Linked DNA regions of Drosophila melanogaster. The protein of the gene in region 3 interacts with the protein of the main gene of each other region in a pairwise test. Each region holds a gene or a part of one and is shown on either strand. Other genes may lie near its edges. The genes, in order: CG32767, CG3726, CG10321 and Syn2.

Region 1 (5,078 bases), on a different chromosome or scaffold from region 3:
GCCGGCAACGCCTGTTGCACCACATTCAGCACCGTCATGGGACTCCGGCTGATCACAGCGGCCGCCGGCATTCTCACATAGGTTGCTCCGGCCGTTAGGCCGCCAACAGCATTGCTTATGTAGACAGGTCGTCGTTGCAGCTGCACAAGAGCCGCCTCGGTCACGGGCACCGACAATCGGTGGGTGGTTGTGCTCACAATACTACCGGCGGGCAGTTGTACCAATTGCTGTGATCCTCCGCCGGCTGTTGCGGCGCCACCAGCGGCACTACTCGTCGCTGCTCCAGCTGTTTGCGTTGCCGCACTAATTTGGTACTCCAGCTGGCCGTGCTGCAGCTCCTCGTCATCGTCCTCATCCTCTTCCTCCTCCTCGTCGGGCATTTCATCATCCTCTTCCAGCTCCAGCTTAACTTGCGTGGACAAATGCGCGGTGGTTTCGGGCTCCTCATCGGCCTCGGCTGCCTGAGCCTCCTCTTCGATATCCTGCAGATTCTCATCGTTCAGCTCGGGATCTTCCTCCTCCTCGTCCTCCTCCTTGATATCGCTGGCGGCTAAAACGGACGAGTTACCCGTGGCCTGGATTATGATGCGGCGTCCGTTTAGCAGATGATGTTGCTGCTGTTGCTGCTGCTGCTGAATGAGCAACTGTTGCTGGTTGTCCAAGTGATTGCTGTTGTTGCTATTGCTACTGCTGCTGTTGCTGCTAAAGGAAGCGCTGTTGTTGGTTGCTGCGGCTGCTGTTGCTGCAGTTGTTGCTGCTACTGCTACGGCAGCTGCGGCTGCTGCTGCGGTCGGTGGGTGGTTGTTGCTGCTGTTGTCCAGCTTCAGATGATGATGCGGATGATGGTGTTGCTGCTGCTGCTGTTGCTGCTGAAGATGCTGCTGCTGTTGCTGCTGATGCGAATGCGAGTGAGGATGATGCTGCGAGTGATGATGGTGATGCACATGCGTATGCTGGTGAGGATCGTCGTCCTGCTCCATGGGAGCATCCTGCAGTATAAATTCGATCTGTTGCGATAGGGCGCTATCGTTAATGGCCATTAATCCGTCCATATCTTTGACACCGGCAGCGGCGCCAACGGCGGGGAAGAGCGATGGCAGCGCCGTCGACGTCCCGCTGCCGCCGTCGACGTTCGTCGCGCTGCTGGCCATGGCAGCGATATACTAATTGATGTATATTTCCCTTATTTGTATCTGCAAATCGTACAAACATTTGGATTAGACTCACATTCGGCCATGGCTGGTGGGCAATAACTTACGTTCTTCTCTTGAGCTGTTGGGGATGCGACGCCTGTGTTTGGCGTAAACCTCCAGCTATGTTGAATATATTGTTAGCCTGAGAAATAGAACAATATTATGAACTCTGCCACAAAATCTAACAAACAAGTTAAGTCCATTCGAGTTTCTGATGTCTTAAAGTACGGGTTATTAAATAAAACTAGATGAAAGCGAAATGCTTTCAGTACTGAGAGGAACAACTATACAAAACTTTGGTGATTAAGTGATAATTTCATCGAAACGAACTAGTTTTTGTTTGGAAAAAGCAGGGCTTGTTGTTACTTACAATTTTTTGTTTGTTTCTTGTCGTTTTGGCTGCCAAAGTTTTCTTTTATGTTACTACTCCCTATTTAAAAATCTTGCCTTTGGGCGTCTGTTGTTTCCTCTTCTACAGAATTTTGTTTGTCGAAGCTGCCATAATTAATAATTGTTGTATATTTTTCAAGTTGCCGCTTCCTCTTCGCCTTCTTCTTCTTCTCATAGATTTGCTGATGGGCTTCTTCTTCTGCTTTAGTTATTACATCTGTTTCTTCCTCCGTTTATTCTGTTCTCTTTCGAATGCCGCTTCTTCCTTGACTCGTATTATTATTACTATTATTCTTCGATTATACGATTGGAAAACACACACACACGCACACACACACACGTTCTTGTATTTTTGTTGTATTTTGTTTTGTTTTTCGTTTGCTCAACGCCTCGCTGTCGGCCTTTCCTTTATGTTCACATTTGGTTTTTTGGGCTGCACAAAAATTTTCCATTTCCTTGTCATGCGGTTTTCTGTGCTTTCCATGCGGCGACGCTGGCGTCGACGTCGCTGCTGGCTGCGCTGCTCCTGGCTGTCGTTGTTGTTTTAGCTTTTGTTGTTTCCTTGCTTGCTTTCCACATTTTAGTTAAAAATGTTTCTGCGCTGTTTTTTGTTGTTTGCTTCACGCACGCACACACACACACAGAAGTCGTTACATTTGCTCCTTTCCTTTTTGTTATTATTATTATTATTGATCTGCTCTCCTCTTTCGCATTTTGTGCAATTTGATTACTAACTGTAAGTGAGATGTAGAAAAATCAGGTAAATTATACACGTTTTTGCTGCTGTTAACAATTAAATGCGTTTTACGAAATCCGATTTTCCACCCACACTCACACACACACACCAGTGCGCGCCTTGGAAATAAAAACAAAAAATTAATTTTAGCTTTTCCCCCCACTCTCTCTCTCACCATCTCTCACACACACACACATTCACAGGTTTTTCACTTTTGCTCCATTTTTCTTTCGGTTTTTTTTGGGGAAGTCTCTCCTCTCCCTTGCTCACACTTTTTGACCTTTTCGATTGTTCTTCTTTTGCCTTTTTCTTTTGCCACTGCTGTTCGTTCCTTTGGTTTTATGTTGCGTTTATTAACTTGCTAATTGTTTAGTTCGTTTTATTGAATTTGTTTGCGTTATTTTTTTGCCATTTCTTTTTCGGTTTCGTTTTTTTTTTTGCAAGGCAGCAACAACAACGAACGACGAGACAATTAGCGGCTGCGCTGCTTCTTCTTCTTCTGCTGCTGCTTGCTCTCCTACTCTGATTCCTATTCTTCTTCTTCTTCGTCCGTGTTTCCCAGCCGATTTTTGCTCCCCCGCGAGTAGTTTTTCTTTGGCTTTCCCCCGTTCGCCTTTTGTTGTTGCCGTTTTCCACACACCCGCTTTACTTTTCACATCCGCAAGCTCGTTTTTCCCTTTCGCGCTGTTCTTCCACACTGTTCAATAATAACAAAAAAATATTTGCTTGTGTGTGAATTTTTGCCTCCCTGGGTCTTACTACGCTCGTGTGTGTGAGTTAGTGTTGCGCAGGGTTGCATTCGGCGGTCAGTGTTGGTAAACGAACGGGCGATGGCGCGCAATTTCGTGCAATATTCAAAAAGTTAATTGGTTTTCGGTTGGCCCGCACACAAAACAACGTTACTTTTATTTCGTTTTTCTTTTTGGTTCTTGTCCTACTCCGTTTCGCCTTTTTTTTTGCCTTTCTTACCCTTTTTAAACACCCACACAACTTCGTTCTCACTCACAACACAAAACCAAAATATACAGCAGGGGTCAATGAAATAGTATTATCAGGTACATCTTACTCAACATCTATTAATTTTTCCTTAAACAGATTATTTTTAAATAAGAAATGAAAAACAACATTTAATTATTATTATTAATTTAATAGGGGCTTAGTACACGCATTTTAAGATCATACTACAAGCGAGCATCTACTTTCAAAAGAAGGCCGTCTTAACGAATTCCCTATTCTCTCGGCCACAACTGTTCCTAAAAGGACTGCCAGAACTTGGAGCCCAAAAAGGGAGCACAAAAAGAGGACGTTGTTGGGCGGGGGAGCAGGGGGAGAGCTGACCTAACAAGCGGAAATACATAGGCACAAAAGAAATACGCCAAAAGGCAGTCGGCGTGAGCGAGAAGGATGGAAAATGGTCGAATTGCGCGAGAGCGAAAGAGGGGACGCTAGCGCGTCATACGTTGCACAGTGGAGCGAAATAGGTGATAATAAAACAACAAACTCATTAATATTACATTTAAAACATTAATTTAGTGCCTATGAGTTCACTGGAGCGTGAAAATTCGAAATTTGTTAGAACACCTAGTCTGCGCGTCCCACTGTGCGATGGGGCCCGCAGCGGGGGGCGACAAAAGGCGTGAGAGGTGGAGAAGCCGTTTTATTTCGACAGTTTCTGAATTGTGCTCTCTCTCACTCACTCACTCTCCTTCTCCATCTTGCTTCTCCCTTTTTTCGAGTGCTGCTCCTGGAAAGATGAGGAGCAAGAGGAAGAAAACATCATCACCTTGGAAGAAAAAAATTTTCAGTGGGAAATAATTCGCTTCGTTTTTTTTTTGGTCTTTTCATTTGGTGGGTAGTGGGTGGTTTTATTGCTCAGTGATTTTTCGCCGGGCGGCGACGGGTGGTGAAGTTTTTGGGGGTTGAAAGCACACACACACACACTAACGCAAACATCAGCAAAATAAAGGGCTAACAAGGGTTAAAAAATATCCGCACAACAAAATAATAGCAGATAAAAAAAAACTAAATGAAATTCACACACAAAGGCAGCTGGAATCCTCTCCCCCACACAACCACACACGCACACTCAAAGAAAAGAGAACTAGTTCTTTTGTTTTTCTCTTTTCGTAACTAGTGGATAACTACTTCCATGCCATACATCCATATATATAAATTTACATATTTATTTAATTGTTTATATTTTTTAGCTGGCGCCGCTCTCTTGCCCTCTCTCCATCACACATTATTCGCACTTCACGCGCACGCACACACACACACTCGCACATGCTCGACACGCACACTCCTTTCGCTTTTCCATCGGTTTTTACTCACACTTAACATCACATTTTCGTTTGTTTGCGGGGTGTGTGCAATGCAGTTGGTTTAGTTTATCAGTGGTTTTAGTTTGTTATGTTTTTTACAGTTGCTTTAATTGCGTTTTATCGCCTTTTTGTTTTGTTTTTTATTTTTTATGAAAGGTTGGTAATGTGACCAAAGCCTGATGCTTAGAGATGGAATAACTAAAGCGATACTGGCAACAGTCACTATCGATACTTTGTAGGTACATCGATACATCGAAAGGAGGTGCAATTGCCAAATATTTAAAACCTAAAACTAAAACTGAAAATACTAAAATACTTACTTGATGTCTGGGCACACTGAAACTGGGTTTTTGAATTTTTACCGGTTTTTTATACACAGAAACACGAAATGCCGCCGTTTTATAGCCGTTTTTCAATTAACCTGAATCAGTCTATTCG
Region 2 (5,072 bases), on a different chromosome or scaffold from region 3:
TGGAAAAGTTCCGGCGATAAGGCGCAGCTATCGCCAAGGCGAAGATTACGCCTGGATGCACCATGGCAACCACTCGAGAGGCGCTCCCCCGATTCCCTATTCCCGATCCACGATTAGATTGGCCAAATACCAGGGAAACCAAGTGACTTGGGTGCAATAACACGCCCATGATCGAAAATGCGACCCCCCATGGATGGGAGAGCGCGTCTATTTGCGATCCGCTTATCGTCAAGTGATTATCATCCGTCTGGGTCACCAGTTCAAGTCGCCGGACGACGATAAGGACACTGCCCCCCCTTTGCAGCTGACGCACTTCGGAAAGATCGGGAAACGTACGTATATAGTCGAAATGGAGAATATTGGCAGAAAATGGACAAGTTTATATGTATGTAGCTTCCTCCAGCAAATTACGTATCTCTAGTACCATTTTGTTGTTCAACGTTTCCAGCTGCTAACTAATAATCCCTGGAAGATTCTTCTATTTTCAACGCAGAAATGAATTGGACACGCAAAATTTTAGCTGCAAAAACTGGAAACTGGTGATTCCCACTAAATTGAATGCTAATTTCTGGCCACAAGTTGAGTGCAAAATGCATATACATATGTATGTATGTATATTTATATACAAATCTGCCCACACGAATGGGAAATTCGATTTAATGGCCAATGCCAGATTCTTTTTTTTTTTTGCGTTATCAGTTTAAATATTTAGACAAGTGCAAACGAGAATGACAACAACAATGCTCGATAGGGCGCAAACAGCCGAGAAATTCGAGTAGGCCCAAAAACGAGTTTCAGGCCGAGGTAGCGAATGTGAATCAAAAAGATTCAAACTTGGCGCATGGCGACGTTTTGAATACACTAACAGTACACTGATACAAATACGGTACATATATGTACATATGCTATAAGATCTCAATTAAACTACACATGTACATAGGTACTTAACAATGATACTACTATAAACAACACTTTCAGCGGATCGATGGCATGCCATCCACGTAGGGATAGTGCAGTGTGGGAACACATGGCTGAATGAAACGCATGAAGCACATGGCGATTAGCCGGGCATGCCAGGAGCCGCAAATGGAAGCGAAACACAAACTTTCTGAGCACCGCGATCACTGCAAGAATTAAAGGCAATCGAAATGCGAGTCCCCCAAATGGTTCAATTAGCCACACTTTTTCCACCCTCCCCTTCACTTTGCCTGGGACTTTCCCGGCGAACTCACCTTCAAAGTGCTCTGCTTGGAGTCCGAATATCGTCTGATCGCCGGTAAGAATGGCGTTGGTGATGGTTGTTTTTTGGCGGCGATGCGAGTTAAAGCTCCGCTAAGCTTTCCAGTCTCGAAGTTAACCGGGTTGCCAACTTTGGTGTTCAGGTCCCGACTAAGGCAAAACCGAAGCTTTTGTGTCAGTGTAGAGCGCGCCCGCTGCATGTCTTTGTAACTGTAATAAGCAGAATTTTATAGATTTTAGTGGATGTTTTTCAACAATCCTTGGTAATTATTAGTACTCACACGGCTGCGTTCGAATCGGAACTGCCGCAAAGTGAGAAGAGTCGCCGGCGCTGAGATGACGCCGCCGCTGGCTGATAAGCGATAACGATAACCCGTGACCCCTGACCGACCCAGTGATAAGTCCGCCCAAGAGTTCCGACCCGATCGCTGCGCTATCTCTTGGCCAGCATCCAAAATATTCGACACCGAAAATACAACGAAGCGAAAACACGCGTTACGTTGGTAAACAACATTTACCAGGCTAACAGATATCAGCTGTTTGGGTAGTTGGATCGCTGGATTTAGAAGCTTTTGGCGCCGTCTGGCAACGCTAGCGATAGCTACCAATTCTTGTATAAATATTTACAATTTGTGGAAATGTTAAGCGTGTGTGCCTCTTCAATTAATATTAACACTTTATTTTATATCATAATATGCGTTTCTCTCAATCCCTTAAAATGTACGTAGTTATCAAACGCGCGATAACGTTAAGGCATTTAAAGTACCCGCCAAATTGCTGGTACTGCGAACCGGTTTAAGTTGCCAACCGATTGGGAGAGTGCAACATCTCTCTCCAGCAACATTGCTGCCAGCCAAAGTCTATATAAGCAACAACGAAAGTTCAATTCTTTTCACTCAAAAATCCGTCTCCTCCGCGGTACGTTTCACTTCGCTGCGCCGCTAAAAGAAAATTCCTGGAAAATATTAACAAACACATGAGCCTAACATTCTTAACAATTCCAAAACAGAACATTTATTTTTGGTGAATTTCCTGACAATTTAGTGGTTAGTGTTTAATGTTAAAACATTGCTGTGCGCATTTACCGTTATCCGCTCGCAAGGCAAAAGAAAAAGCGCGCGTTTTGAATTCGCTGTTTCGCATTATTTTTTTTTATGTTAAAAAACAAAATATAGAAATGAAACAAAAATGGCAAGCCAGAAATTAAATGAATGAATGAATTTTTTTCGACACAATTCTGCTGCGTGTGCAATTCGATTCGAATAACAAAACAAAAAGCATAAAGGAAAAGTAAAAGAAATTCGAGGGGGGAAAAAAACGCCAAAAGAAAAGATAGCGCGAAAAGTCATAAAGAAAAGGTGAGAAAACAAATTATTTATTTCATGTGCTAAAAAGACACGCAAAACGAACGTCGTTTTATTTTTAGCCAAACAAAAGTTGTGTGTTATTTGTGCGATTTTCTGTTTTTGTTCGCCGCTCTCCCCTTGTTTTTTATCGTTTTTGTTTTTCAATCATATATTTTGTGCTTCTTTTTTTTTTTGCATGTTTTGTTTTGTGCGTGCTCTTTTTTGTTGAATGCAAAAAGGCGAACAAAATATTACGATAAAAATTCCGTTGTTCTCGCCGAAGGTTTCCGGGTTTGTTGACTTTGCCAGCTGAATATTCGAAATTGACATAAATAATAATCGCATGCAATTATTGTAAACAATTGTTTTTCGCTCAGGAAACGATTGGCGCTTTTTCTTCGCTTATTGTAATTGTTGCTGCCAACTAATCGCCAAGATAAAAATGAAAAAAGAGGGGAAAAAACCTACAGAGTTGCAAAAAATTAATTAAATTCATAGGCCAGTAATTTACATTTTTTGTGTGATTTTTTCGCTTTTTTTGTAGTTTTTGTCTAAGCTTGATAATTAGGGTTTTTTGCGGGCTGTTGTTTATCTGCTACAGTTGTACCCAAAATAATAGTCGATGCTTAAAAATGTTTACAAAAAATGTAAATTTTTGTGGCGCTTCAAATAGCTTTACTACGATTTCGAACACAATTGTATATCTTAAGTTTTGGGGCTATTTTTTGTGCTGGTTTTAAATTTTGGTTTATCGGTTTTTGTTATTTCTGTGGCTTTTAGTTTTCTTCTTCACCTGTTTAGCCTTATTTTTTGTTGTCGATTTCGGCTTATTTGTTTTTAGTTTTTTGTTGCACTATTTGAATGCGAGTTTTTTTGTTGTTGAGAGAGGCATTTCCGCCTTTATGGCAAAAGCAATTTACAATTTGCAATTTACTTTTCTCTCGTTTTTTTGCTGTATGGCAATTCATTTTTACAACTTTAATTATATGAACAAAAACTGCAAAACATGAACGGCAAAAATTAAAATTGCAAATCGCATTTGAGTGACGTCGCCGTCAACGTTTCTCCTTCCTTTTGTTTTTGTCGGCTGTTTTATTCGGTTTTTTGTTTTCACAGCGGCATTCGCCTGCGCAAAAAAAAATAAAACAGCGAATCAGTGTGTGGAAGATTGTGTGGAGGGGGGGCAGAGAGCGAGAGAGAGAGAGAGGAAGAGAGCGTATCAGGAGCGAATCTGGAAATTTTTGAACCAAGCTACCGATTTGCAAGAAGAACATGAAGTTAACAAAATATATAGGTTATTGAGCAACAAAATTACGTAAAACATTTAAGATATTTAATGGCACTTAACTCGAATATTTACCCCCTGATCCGGCCCTGGCTTCTGTGCGCTAGTGTTGGTGTGCGTGAGTGCTCTCTCTCTCGTTCGCTGCTCTCTGCTCCCCATCTTCATCGACCCCCCACCACCCGCCTTCGCCCCACTCACACACATTTCAATTACATGTGAAACGCGTGCTCCAAATTTCAAGTTCATTGTCCAAAAACAAATCAGAACAAAAGCGATAACAAACAAGCAAGCCAAAGGCAAAAAAACAAGGGCAGGTCAGCATCCGACGTGCCACGCCCCCAAATTTGGAATATATACATACATATATGCATATATGTTCATATACATACCTATGGACATAATTAATTAATTTATAAATGTGGGAGAAACGCTTAAATAAAGCCTAAAATTAGTCTAAAACTACAACGATTGATATTCCAACAAAACCAAATTCGAAATATAAAACATTTTCAAATCGATTTCGAATAAATGCATATTTACCTGGGCTTCGAGATTTGAAAGCTTTGCATCTAGATTTCATTATCATAAATTATTCGTAATATATGATATATCATGTAAAAAACTTTTGGGTATTCCCACAGTCGAGTCGAAATAAAGCCGTGAAGTATTTATAACAAAATCACACTTATTTTCGTGTTATTCCGCAACCAAATAAAAATTCTTTAGAAAAACAATGCGGCAGTAGGAAATAAAGCAAAAAACGACACAAATTTTGACACGAAATATTGTTTTTCGTGTGTGATTATTTTGTTGTTGTCATTTTTTGTCATACCAGCTTTAAGTTTAGTTTACTCTATGTGTTTATTTATTTTCATTTTGGTAGTTGGCAAATAAAATTCGCTTACGTAAATTTTGGGGTTGTTTATGTTTTGCGCACTATATATGAAAAATGATAACTATAATTTGCAATGCGTAAATAATGTTTGTCAAATGCCGACAAAGTTCCTTAAATCTATTCACAGCGTTTTCAATTTCAATTTCGCCGAAAAAGGGTTTGATTTTGCAACCATTTCTTTTTCATTGAGCTCCCCACTTTTTTTTTCCCTCATTCTCTGATATCAGCTCATATTTATAATTAAAAACAAACAATAAAAAACTGCACTGCAGACGGCAAATCGGAAAAATATAACAAAAAATAAAAA
Region 3 (6,266 bases):
GTGGCCAAGTTTTATTTCGACGGTTTAAAGTGCAAGGACTTTTCCAGCCAAGCATGAAAGCATGACATTTAAGATGAAGAATATATTATAAGTGCAATGAATATATACATATGTAAATGTAAATGTAAAGCATATGATGGTATAGGTAAAGCCCATTTTAAAAATGTTGCATTAGATACAGCTAGTTACGAATCAAAAATCTAGCTATCTAAAATATCTATGTACAATATAAGCTTTAGTTTGGGCCAGATTTTCCAACAGCTGGCTGGAAAATTAAGGGCGGTAAGTCGAAGGTATGCGTCATATTTGTAAGCGGAAAACCAAACCTTTATCTTATCTTGCGAAACGCGGCTGACCGCCATATATAATCTGAACAAAACAAATAAACGCCTGGCGATTTTAGCTGTCACAATGTTATTCCAATTGATTATTTTCGCGGCTTATTTGCTAATTAATTAACAATTTCTTGTGACAGCCGGAGATTTCAGACTGCGATCAGATAACCGATTATTGGGGGGTCACTTTTTATGGATAATATAATATATATGTATGTACATGTACCTAAATCACACTAATAGGCATTTACAGATTTACATAAGCATCCATACGCGAATCGTAGTTATCCAGATACTTCCCATAACCGGATGAACGCGACACGTGGCAATTGGGAATCAATAGACAAGACCTTGGCTTGATTGTTGTTTTCTTTCGATCAATTTTGTTTGGGTTCTGTTTTTTCCCGGTCTTCTGTCAATGCAATTGAACAACAAGCCAACAAAGCCAGCGAATTGGATTACACGCTTAAAAATAAATATTACCGGCCAGATGGGACGTACAAGAAAGACAAATTATGGTTTCATAGAAGGTTTGTTAATTTATTTTGTTGTTCAGTTAAAACAAATTCACTTATTTCAAAGCCCAACAATGAAAACCCAACGCCAAAATACGTTTAGCCTAAAATGCCAGTCTGTATTCCCCGGGAAAACAAAATAATAATAGTAGGGTAATAAAATTAAAAACAAAAACTGGCACAGTCCACGCAGGATTTATGCCCCAAGCGTTTGGATGTGAGGATCCGCCTCGATCTGCCTACCTAAAGTTTCGTATCTGCTTACAAAATTCGAGTGAATCGCTTAGGTCCTACTAAACAAGTTCTACGACAGAAATCTAGGATTGCAATATTTGTGTAGTTGTGCTTATTCCTAAATTGTTATCTAGACGGGGGTAGTACAAAAATATATATATATATATGTATATATATTACATCTAAGTGGTCATCTAAATGCCGAGCAGGCACTCGCCGTTTCCAGGAGCGCCCGCTGCGGCAAACTCCGCTGGCTACGCCTGCGTCACGAAGTACACCTCGCCGGATGAGCCCATGACCACGGCGTGGGTATCGCCCGTGCCGCCGGCCAAAGTCGTACCCTGGCCGGTTGCCATCATGTTCGACATGTCGGTGGTGCCGTTGCTGACGATGCTTACCGCCCCGCTGAAAGCATCGTCCTGGCCACTGATCTGCACCTCTGCACTGTGATCCGTGCTCTCCACATGCAGCTGCAGTGAGTCCACGTTGTCGTACAAAGATCCGCACTCGCCGCACTTGAACAGCGGATCCACAACCTCCGGATGCTTGCGTTCTACGTGCCACTTGAGGTTCACCGCGGACGAGAAGTTCTTTCGGCAGTTGGCCACGCCGCAGCAATACGCTCTCTGCTGGTGCGTCTGTCTGTGCCTGTACAAGATCGCCTTGGACTTGAAGGTTCGATTGCAAATGGTGCACATCGGTGTGCTGGATTCAGCGTCGTGCGTCTTCATGTGCATCCGCAGCATTCCTGGGCCCTTAAAGCTCTTTAGGCAGATCTGGCACTGCGGCTGTTTCTTGCAATTGGCCCGTATCCAGTTGGTGTGGGAGTGCATGTGGTTCTGCAGGCCCTTGAACTGCCGGAACTCGGTGCTGCACAGGTGACAAATGTATCTCCCAGATCCCAGAGGCGAGGTGTGCTGTCGTATGAACTCAGTTACCAGATTAGCATCTATTTCGTAGTTGTCGTCCGCACCGGCGGCTGCAATCACGCTGGCCGTCTGCACCAACTGGCGAGAGTTGGCTGCGGCCAGCTTGCTGCTGGTCGTTGATCCAGCGGCAGGTGGTTGGTGGTCGCAGGGTTCCAGAGTCACACCGGCTGGAATTTGGTGGTTACTTCGCTTGGCTCGCTTTGGCGTCGGACTGGCCGAGCTGACGGTCATAGTGGGACCCACCAGGGCTTCCGTTGTAGTTGTGGCCTGGCTGAACTCTACAACAGCGTTCTCCAGTGATATGCTCTGCATCTCTTCTTGGTGCTGCTGATGATGCGACTGCTCAGAATCCATGAATGCCTGGTCAATGTCCACACTTGTCTCGCCATCCGGCGGCTCCATAATGGAATACTCCAGATCGTCGTCTACGTCGCCGGACAAATGCGGATCCTGTTCCTCACCGATGTACTCACAATCCTGGTCGATTTCCTCCCCATCCGGATCATCGAGCATCTCGTCATCCTCCAGCTGAATCTCCTCGATTATGAACGTATCCTGGTCCTCTTCGGGCTTCATTTGCTCCTCCTCGTCTTCTATCTCGTCCATTGCTTGCTGTTGGTCCAAATCGTCGAAGTACTCATGGTCTTGGCTTTCACTCTGCGTGAGATCCTCGTTGATCATTACTTGGTGGTGCTCGTGGTGGTCCTTTAGGAAGTCCTGCTGCTGATCGTCGTCCAGTACAATAGTCTCAAAGCTGTGATCTGCCTTGCTATCCAGTTGCTCGTACACATCTTCCAGTTCCTCGTCTTCCACCTCACAGCCGTCCTCCAGCAACTGCACGTCGGCATCACCGAGAGAAGCGCCTACATGCTGACCCATATCCGTGGCGTTGGTAGTTGTGGTCACTGTCGTGACTCCGGTCGGAGCCAAACTGCGTTGCGGCACAAGTTGAACCAGCTGCAGGGTCTGCGTGCCATTGGGCTGCTGAACAATCTGCAACGTCTGTCCGTTCGGCGTCTGTAGAAGCTGTGGCAGGAATTGCGATTGCGCAGCGGTGGCCTGACCATTAGTCGTTGACTGCGGCGCTGTGCTGATGATCTGCGCCAACTGCGGCGCTACAATCTGAGCAGTCGTTATCAATTGGCCGTTGGGCAACAGGATCTGCTGCGGCATAGTCGTGGTGGCACCGGCAGCGGACAGTAGCTGGGCGGGAGCAGGCTGAAGTGTGGGCATATGAATCTGCTGGATCTGCTGCTGCATAGTGGGCTGTTGCGGCGCATGTTCCTGCATTAATTGCATCTGTGGCTGAGGGGCGGGCTGCGGGACTGACTGTGGTGCTGGTGCGGCCTCCAAATGCCTCTGCTTCTGCTGGCGGGAGCCCTTGCGGAGCAGCGGCTTCAGTTTTGGTTTGGCAGGAGGCTGATGCTGTTGCTGCTGGACTATCTGCTGCTGGAGTTGCTCCTCGAGGATTTTCTGTTGCTTCTGCAGCTGTCGCTGTTGCTTCCGCTCCAGCTGAAGCTGCTGCTTAGCGTTTGCCGCCTCCTGCTGCTGCTGCTCCTCCATTACCAGTGCCACGGTAAGACCGCGGATATACTCGCGCAGCTCCTTGTCGCTGCGCTCGACGAGCGTCTTGAAGGCGTGATTCCGGCTTACGGCGTGGACGCACTGCACGCAGATCTTGTCCGGCCAGCCCTCCGTGGGCTCCACCCGCACGCTGGTACAGTCCATCAGCATTTCGGGCACCTTTTCGCTGAACAGCGGGCGCATCTCCTTGCGCTCCGAGATGCACAGGCGGCAGATCTTGTCAAGCTCCAGGACCTTCTTGCGATCCATCACTTCGTGTTCCTAGGGGGAGGCTGCAATGGGCCAGTTTTTTTTAATTTAAAATAACCATTAGAATGAGCGGATCCCCGAAAGGTGCATGAGTACGAGGTTTGTTATGATTTGCCCGCCAAAAAATGGTCAATTAAAATTCAGAATAATTTCATCTGTTGTAAAATGACCTGCTAACCCGCTGTTAATAACAGGGACTGTCGACACGTCTGGTAGCTCTTGTGCCAGACAGAGACAGCCATATTGTTATACACAATTTACCATCTTGGTGTTGGTGTGAGCGAAAAATGCGATTTTTAGGCCCAAAAAACGAAACAAATACATAATTCCCGACTTGAATTGGGTAAATATTGTTTTCGATTCACTTGCACCCGCACTTAGAGCACCTTTCGACCGGGTTCCCGCAACAAAAATGAACTCACCTGCGCTGTATTTATGTAATTTTCGCAGCTCGCCCCACATTCAACACAAAAAACTCTTTAAATATGGCCGCGTCACACAAATCGCATTCGGAACTCACATATTTGTGGTTCAGGGCGAAACACACACGTTCCCAGAGATGCGAACTTCAAAACCAAAACAAGTGCACACCAGTGGGTCTTTCGGGACCCTGATCGAATGAAATCACTAGCTATCTCTGGCGACGTTATCAATAAGGTTCTTCCATGAGATGAATGAATTGATGAACTGAACTTCTGCCTCTATCTGTCTTTCTCTGTGTGCGAGTGTGAGTGAGATGATAGGCGTGTTGTGAATGGCGCTGCCAACGTGGTATAAAGACAGAAATCCCTAACGCATGCCGGTCGGAAATCATTTTGTTTATTTCCTCAGATTTCTAGATTTCTTTTTAATACTTAAAACTTCTTATGTTTAAGGCATGAAATTCCATTGAAACTTACCTTTTCTCTATTTACAACTTAGGTTTTTGATGTGGGTCCTTCAGCTCACAAGTCTCTTTAATTTCTCGATTTTAGAGCCATTCCTTGCCGTTCATACCAGGGGATTTCTTTACATATTCAATGAAACACACAACAGTTTTTTGACTCACATTAACATTTTCAAGCCGAAATTTTTAATAAATCTAACCCAAAAAACGAACACACAAATTTTAATTCGAGGACATAGCAATTGAGCTGCCAACTCGTTTTTTAAACTGACATTTCGAACTGAAAACACCTGTTGATCCTGGTGTTATTTTCTGATTTAGAAAACTTAACTTAATGTCCATAATTTTTAGGCGGGTGGAGGCACATTCGTGTTGGCCACTTCGTACATGTGGCGCTTCTTGGTTCTCCTGTTGTGAGCGCTTACTACAATGTATATGCCCAGGATAATAGCGAGGGCCAAAAGCAGACAAGTAATCACAAACCAGCAGTAGAATCCTGGACCTTCCTCATCGTAATCCTCTTCCTGTGCGTTCTCCCACTCGGTATAGTTGCCCGATGGATCCTCCCTTATCTGGCCAACCTTCGGCTCTCGGAAAAGCGAGGCCTTGGCCAGGTTGCTAGACTCCGGAGCCATGAAAACCGGCTCCGTATAATCTATTCGGATGAAGGTGAGCCGGGCCCCGGTCAGAGTTTCCTTATAGCGTCTCAGCCCATGGCCATAGTACTCGTATATGTCGGCGTCGAACTCCCGATGCTGGTCTACCCATTGACCAATCACCTGCACCTTCACCTCGCTCCTGGGGTCCATGCTTCGTCCGAAATAGGCTTTTTCCGCAACATCCAGGCCACCCATACCATACAAGTCCAACTCGAGAACAGAGGACCGGTGCTCGAAGAGCAGAGGCAGCCTGGATAGCTTCCTATGCTGGTACACACTGGACATGTTCACAAGGATCTTCTCCACAAAATCGTAGTTCAGGCTACCGTAAATGGGCTTACGTTCGCCACTGGGATTTCGGAGCACACTGTCACCCAGGTGCATCTTGTAGCTGTTAGTCACATTGCGCCACGGCAGGTAAGTAATGTTCCTCAGCTGGTATGCCAAAGGTTCCAGTTCCACCAGTACGTTAATGTTATCCTCAAGACCATACTATAAAGATAACATATTTGTAGGACATCAACCGAACCATCTTCCCGAGGAACTTACAAAGTTATCGCCAAAAATCATGACCACACAGGTGAACAGATTGTCGGACACCGCATTGACAAGATCCGTGTGTCGGAAGTGACAGAGCTCTGTCTTCTCCCGCTCCACGTTCGTGGCCTTGGCAATGTATGTCAGTCGCTCCTTGGGATTCAGCTCGGCCGCATAGTTCTTGAGCACGGTGTGGTAGGGAATCCAGGCCAGGACCGAATCACCTCCGTTGGCGCACACCTCCGTCTGAACTCCCCTTCCAGTCAGTTCTCCGTTGCGCAGCCTAAAAAAGTGATGGTTATCTCGCCTGATTGTGGTGGAGCCATGATCTGCGCACA
Region 4 (5,112 bases), 5.1 Mb from region 3:
CGAGTTCAAGCCCCTCTATTCAGGATATCGAATATGTGAAAATGTGACCCAATTGAAAACGCGAAAACGGGTCGCAACTACACATAAACTGCATATATTTATACACACGCATATACATATATATATGTATATGTGTGCGGGCAAGCATAAGTACATCTGTCAATACAAGGAGGTAATCCCCCAAAGTCGATCCGATATACTGGGTGCGGTAGAATTGTTTAGCAAACACACACATAAATTAATAATCAACGTTTTTGGGCCTCGGGCAGCAAAAGTATCGGTTATGCGAGGGTGTGCGTGTGTTTGTTTTACTTCACAGCCAGAGCTGCAAAAAAAAAAAGAAAAGTTCAATCGCTGAAACTTCAGGCAAAACAGCCCGAAACGTTTCGCCTGCTGCTGCTTCTGCTGCTCTTTTCGTGGCTGTGGCACAGCTGATTGTCCAAGGCCTCACGCCGAACATGTTGGCTTGTTTGGTTTGAAGCTAAGGACCTGCACTCCTGGACACCTCCCCACCGAAAAAAAAACCAGAGTACTCTGGGCCTAGCTTCACGGTTTTACGGCTCTGAAGCACGCACCCAAAAGGGCAGCGCAGCGTGCACACGTAATAATAAAGCCATAATCAAAGGTAACCCGGGACAACGGAGCGTATGCGTGTTCCGCCAAGTCGGTGGCCTGACCAGCAGCTAATTGCTACGACACGCGGAATGCCAAGGATTCAGGAATTCATGGTCCAAATATTCGACACTTTTTGCACTCTGCGAAACTCTTGCAGGCAATATAGAACATTCTGGGTTGATAGATCTATTTTTGTATAGATTTTGGAATGTATAATTTACCTTAATTATAATTATTTTATGTTGCTTCAGTAAAATAATTCCGTTTTTATATATTTATTTTTATTATATTTTCAAAAACTCATTGTTGATGACACGTAAGCTTAGGCCTAAACATTTTATTATGATTTTATTCCTTTCATAATTTCATTAAAAATATATAATAATTTTTTTAATTAACAATAATAACAATTGAATTCACTTTGACCATGAATCAGATCGCAGAAAACGTTTAAAGCGAAAGTGTTTCCCCTCGAATTCAGAATTTCTCAATCTCAGATGGCAATTTAGCTGGCACCATATGCACATATTTGGCGCTCAAATCGAACCCTCCCCCCCCCCCCTTCAAGAACTCTCAACCCCCCCTAGGCAAAACACCTATTTATGGAGCACAAGTGGTTATCCAAAATACATATTCCACCCTCCCATTCCTGAGGAGCAGTTGCGGCCACACTTCGGCACTCAGCACCAGGGAAAACCACAAACAACGTCTGCAGATGGGGCACACTTCAATGTGTTTTCACTCATATCTAGTTTTCCGGTAGCATATTTATTTTCCACTTTAATGGAAAACATATGCCGTGGCATCAGTTCGTAGAAAACGCACTTGGCCAAGGTATGCCCATGTATCGTTTCCATCTAGATATGCCTTCTATTACATTTTGCGGCAGCCTGATTACGCTTAATTGTTTCTAATTGCATGTGTAATTTAATTAAGGCAATTGCACAGTTCACCTTGAACTATCGGCTCATCGGTGGGCCAGTGTGCAAACGTAATTCGATATGCGATGATTGCAATTGCGTTGCTTTCGCCTTACTGCTGTCTGCTCAGTGGAAAAATAAAATGGCAATCGATAAAGGCCACGGAGCCGGCTTCCCGATTTGATTGCAGTTGTTTCGCAGTCCATTGCCATGGCCACGATTATGTTTAAAAATAAAAAAAAAAAAACGAAAAGTTCTCAGAAATCGCTTGATTACACTGGGCCAACTTGATTGGCGGCCATCCGATTTGGTAACAAGGGTAGACATCCCGTTATTGCCACAAATCAGGCAACATTTCAACCTTTTCAGACCCTTTGCTCTAAATTATTCATTCCATTCAATCAATCAACGCATTTAATTTAACGCCTCTAGAAATATTGATTGAGCTTTAAGTATAGTCAAGATATCTTGAAGATACATTTTGTTATTATTATAGCAAACTAATCTCTAGAAATCTCTAGAGTTCCTGGATTTTTATTTTATTTTGGTTCATAATTCATTTTTAAATCCTATCACTTTAAGCACGTTTCCCATTTAAGATCATAAATCACACTCAAGATCCCTCTTCTCTGAATGATTTCAGGAATTATGAAGCTCTCTGACACCATGGCCACGCCTATAGAAGAAAAACTCGACCAAAACCTGAAGGTAACGCAAAGATTCTTCATATTTATAAATGTATATCTATTAAATATTAAATTATTAATATTTTAGGTGCGAACTGGAATGGTGCACGTGAGCGATGGCAAGAGCAGACCAGAACCGCTTCGACTTAATCTTACCATGGAGTTGCTTTCGCTGCAGAAGCTGGAAGTGGTAACACCAAGTAGTTGTCACCCCAATGGACCACCCATGGAATCAAAGGTATATATATATTTTCCCCTATAACATTTAACTTATTTATGAAATAATTCATCTTTCAGGAACGTATGGTTCAAATTACGCGCCAAAAACAAGGCGGCCTAGGACTGAGCATAAAAGGTGGCGCCGAGCATAAACTACCCATTTTGATATCGCGTATCTATAAGGATCAGGCTGCGGACATAACGGGCCAACTATTTGTTGGCGATGCCATCATCAAGGTCAACGGAGAATACATCACGGCATGTCCTCACGATGATGCCGTCAATATATTGAGAAACGCTGGCGATATTGTTGTGCTCACTGTTAAGCATTATCGCGCAGCCACGCCTTTCCTTCAGAAACAACGTGAGTAGCAGTGGGCTAGCATAGCACGATAAATAAGGATTGAATAACCCTCCTCAACATCCCAGTGACCAAGGACACACCCGACTCGGACAACGATGTCACATGTGCCGAACTGAAGGCTGACGAGGGCTACAAGTCATCCGTCAATAGTGGAACCATCAGTCGCAGTTGTAGTCGCCCCATGTCAATTTGCTCGGAGCCCGAGAAGCGCTGGACCGACGTGGTTGCCGGTGAGCCTTATTTATAAATAGGTTAACAAATTGTTCATTGATTATGTCCTAAGATAACAGAAATGTATCTCAAATCTTACGTACAGAAATGCTAATCAATTCATATATTTACACCTTGCAGTACCTCTAATGATGGCATATGTGACGAGGTACATCTATGGCACCGACAAGCTGCGACAAAATGCCTTCGAAGTTCGCGGTCTGAATGGAATTTCCACAGGTGTCATACACTGTGACGAACTGGCCATACTTAGTCAGTGGCTGAAATTGATAACAGACAATGTTGTGGGCCTGACGCATTTACAGGTAGGAGAGTTAAAGGCATATATATTCATAATTTAATCAATTGTGTATCCAATAGATGAAGCTATATAATAGAAACTTTGCTGTGGGCGAGCGCATTGAGTACATGGGCTGGGTGAATGAAGGTGTCATTAACAACAATATATCGTGGCAGAGCTACAAGCCCAGGTTTCTACTGCTCAAAGGCACTGAAGTGATGCTCTTTGAAACGCCACCAGTGAGTAGCAATCAATTGCGATAAGTTTCGATTATCTTAACTAATTTTTTCTATTAAATTATTAGCTAAATGTGGCTGGCATTAGTAAGGCTTTGGTGGTCTACAAGGTCTACCAGACCATGTTCCGCATTGTCAAGGAATCGGAGACCGTGGATAGTCGTCAGCATTGTTTCCTGCTGCAAAGTTCGGGTCATGAACCGCGCTATTTGAGCGTGGAAACCCGTCAGGAGCTTTTGAGAATCGAAAACAGCTGGAATGCGGCCATTGTGACAAGTGTCATCAAACTGGGCGTAGGTTTACACTTATATCGCATACCTTCACTCTCTAATTATATGTTAATTTTCCTCAGCGTAAGACCTTTGCCGTGTCGCATCATGGAAAAAGTGGTGGACTCACGCTGGACTGGCAAGCTGGTTTTTCATTAACCGAAGGAGCCGAATCCGCCACAGTTTGGCAGTATAAATTCTCCCAGCTGAGGGGCTCCAGTGATGATGGTAAATCGAAGCTGAAGTTGCATTTCCAGGATCACGATAGCCGTGCAATAGAAACCAAGGTAAGCTAAAGATACAAGTATACCATAATTTCATAATATATAAAAAGTTTAATATCCTGCAGGAGCTGGAATGCCAAGTCCTGCAAAGTCTGCTGTTCTGCATGCACGCGTTTCTTACGGCCAAGGTGGCATCGGTGGATCCAGCATTTTTGAGCTCAATCCAGCAGACTTAAATCAAAAATATTATGAGGGACAAGAATTCGCATGGACTCACACTCAAAATGATATATAATGAATATTCGTAAAGTGCATAGCAAATAATTCGAATATGAATGTTGGACTATAGGTATCGCATACATGATTGTCCGCTTGGAGTTATTATAAACGAGTACGCGCATATACATATGTATGTTGATATCTGAATGATTGTAATTGTAATTGGATACTGATATGGGTATATTTATAGCGCTGATAAAACTGAAAGTGAAATCTCTTGGTGCATTATAGTAAATTTTAAGCATACATAAGGCAATTACTTTAGGCATTTTTCCTATTACGTAGACTTGGTACTTACAAATTGACAACAAATTTATATTGTTTATAATCGATCGTTTCCGAATGTAGCCTTTAAAGTTAAATTAACCCTTAACCCTACCTACCTAACTTACGGATTGTTAAAACCACATAGGTCTGCCGATTCTGAATGTCAGAGAAATCTAATCGCTTTTTGCTATTAGCCGAAAAGATTATAATGAGTGGCCTTAAAGGCTTTAACCCGTGCTGTATCCTCTAGACATATATTTCTTCGGCGGTTTAACGAAAATTGATTGAAATATAAAAACCGTGTTTTGTGTGCGCTCTAATGAAAATTTAATTTTCGAAAAACGAATGCTTTAAGATCGGATTAATTGTTATTTTCTACTGAAGTAATAGCTGATGTCATAATAGATATATATAAAAATACCTTATAAAATAATATATATATATATAACATCCACCGAACAAATCTCAATGCACAGACGTAACATGAACTAGATTTTATAACTGTTATACATTTACTCAGAG

The links.
Region 1: the proteins of CG10321 (region 3) and CG32767 interact in a two-hybrid assay, tested with the Drosophila melanogaster proteins (one large-scale study listed by BioGRID).
Region 2: the proteins of CG10321 (region 3) and CG3726 interact in a two-hybrid assay, tested with the Drosophila melanogaster proteins (one large-scale study listed by BioGRID).
Region 4: the proteins of CG10321 (region 3) and Syn2 interact in a two-hybrid assay, tested with the Drosophila melanogaster proteins (one large-scale study listed by BioGRID).

The regions. Positions count from the first base shown.
Region 1 is NC_004354.4:5,079,923-5,085,000, forward strand, and holds the start of CG32767 (uncharacterized protein), read right to left. Parts: upstream 3,104-5,078; 5' UTR 2,495-3,103; intron 2,318-2,494; 5' UTR 1,564-2,317; intron 1,336-1,563; 5' UTR 1,259-1,335; intron 1,194-1,258; 5' UTR 1,152-1,193; coding exon 1-1,151.
Region 2 is NC_004354.4:5,915,031-5,920,102, forward strand, and holds the start of CG3726 (uncharacterized protein), read left to right. Parts: upstream 1-2,066; 5' UTR 2,067-2,597; intron 2,598-5,072. Other genes in the region: Shmt (serine hydroxymethyl transferase), read right to left, coding at 1,233-1,439.
Region 3 is NT_033778.4:21,632,984-21,639,249, reverse strand, and holds CG10321 (uncharacterized protein), read right to left. Parts: upstream 4,572-6,266; 5' UTR 4,269-4,571; intron 3,870-4,268; 5' UTR 3,847-3,869; coding exon 1,339-3,846; coding exon of another isoform or gene 1,279-1,338; 3' UTR 851-1,278; downstream 1-850. Other genes in the region: CG15674 (uncharacterized protein), read right to left, coding at 5,080-5,883, 5,941-6,266.
Region 4 is NT_033778.4:16,552,450-16,557,561, forward strand, and holds Syn2 (Syntrophin-like 2), read left to right. Parts: upstream 1-2,137; 5' UTR 2,138-2,168; coding exon 2,169-2,243; intron 2,244-2,309; coding exon 2,310-2,459; intron 2,460-2,518; coding exon 2,519-2,804; intron 2,805-2,869; coding exon 2,870-3,034; intron 3,035-3,155; coding exon 3,156-3,340; intron 3,341-3,395; coding exon 3,396-3,554; intron 3,555-3,619; coding exon 3,620-3,844; intron 3,845-3,903; coding exon 3,904-4,107; intron 4,108-4,169; coding exon 4,170-4,280; 3' UTR 4,281-4,577; downstream 4,578-5,112.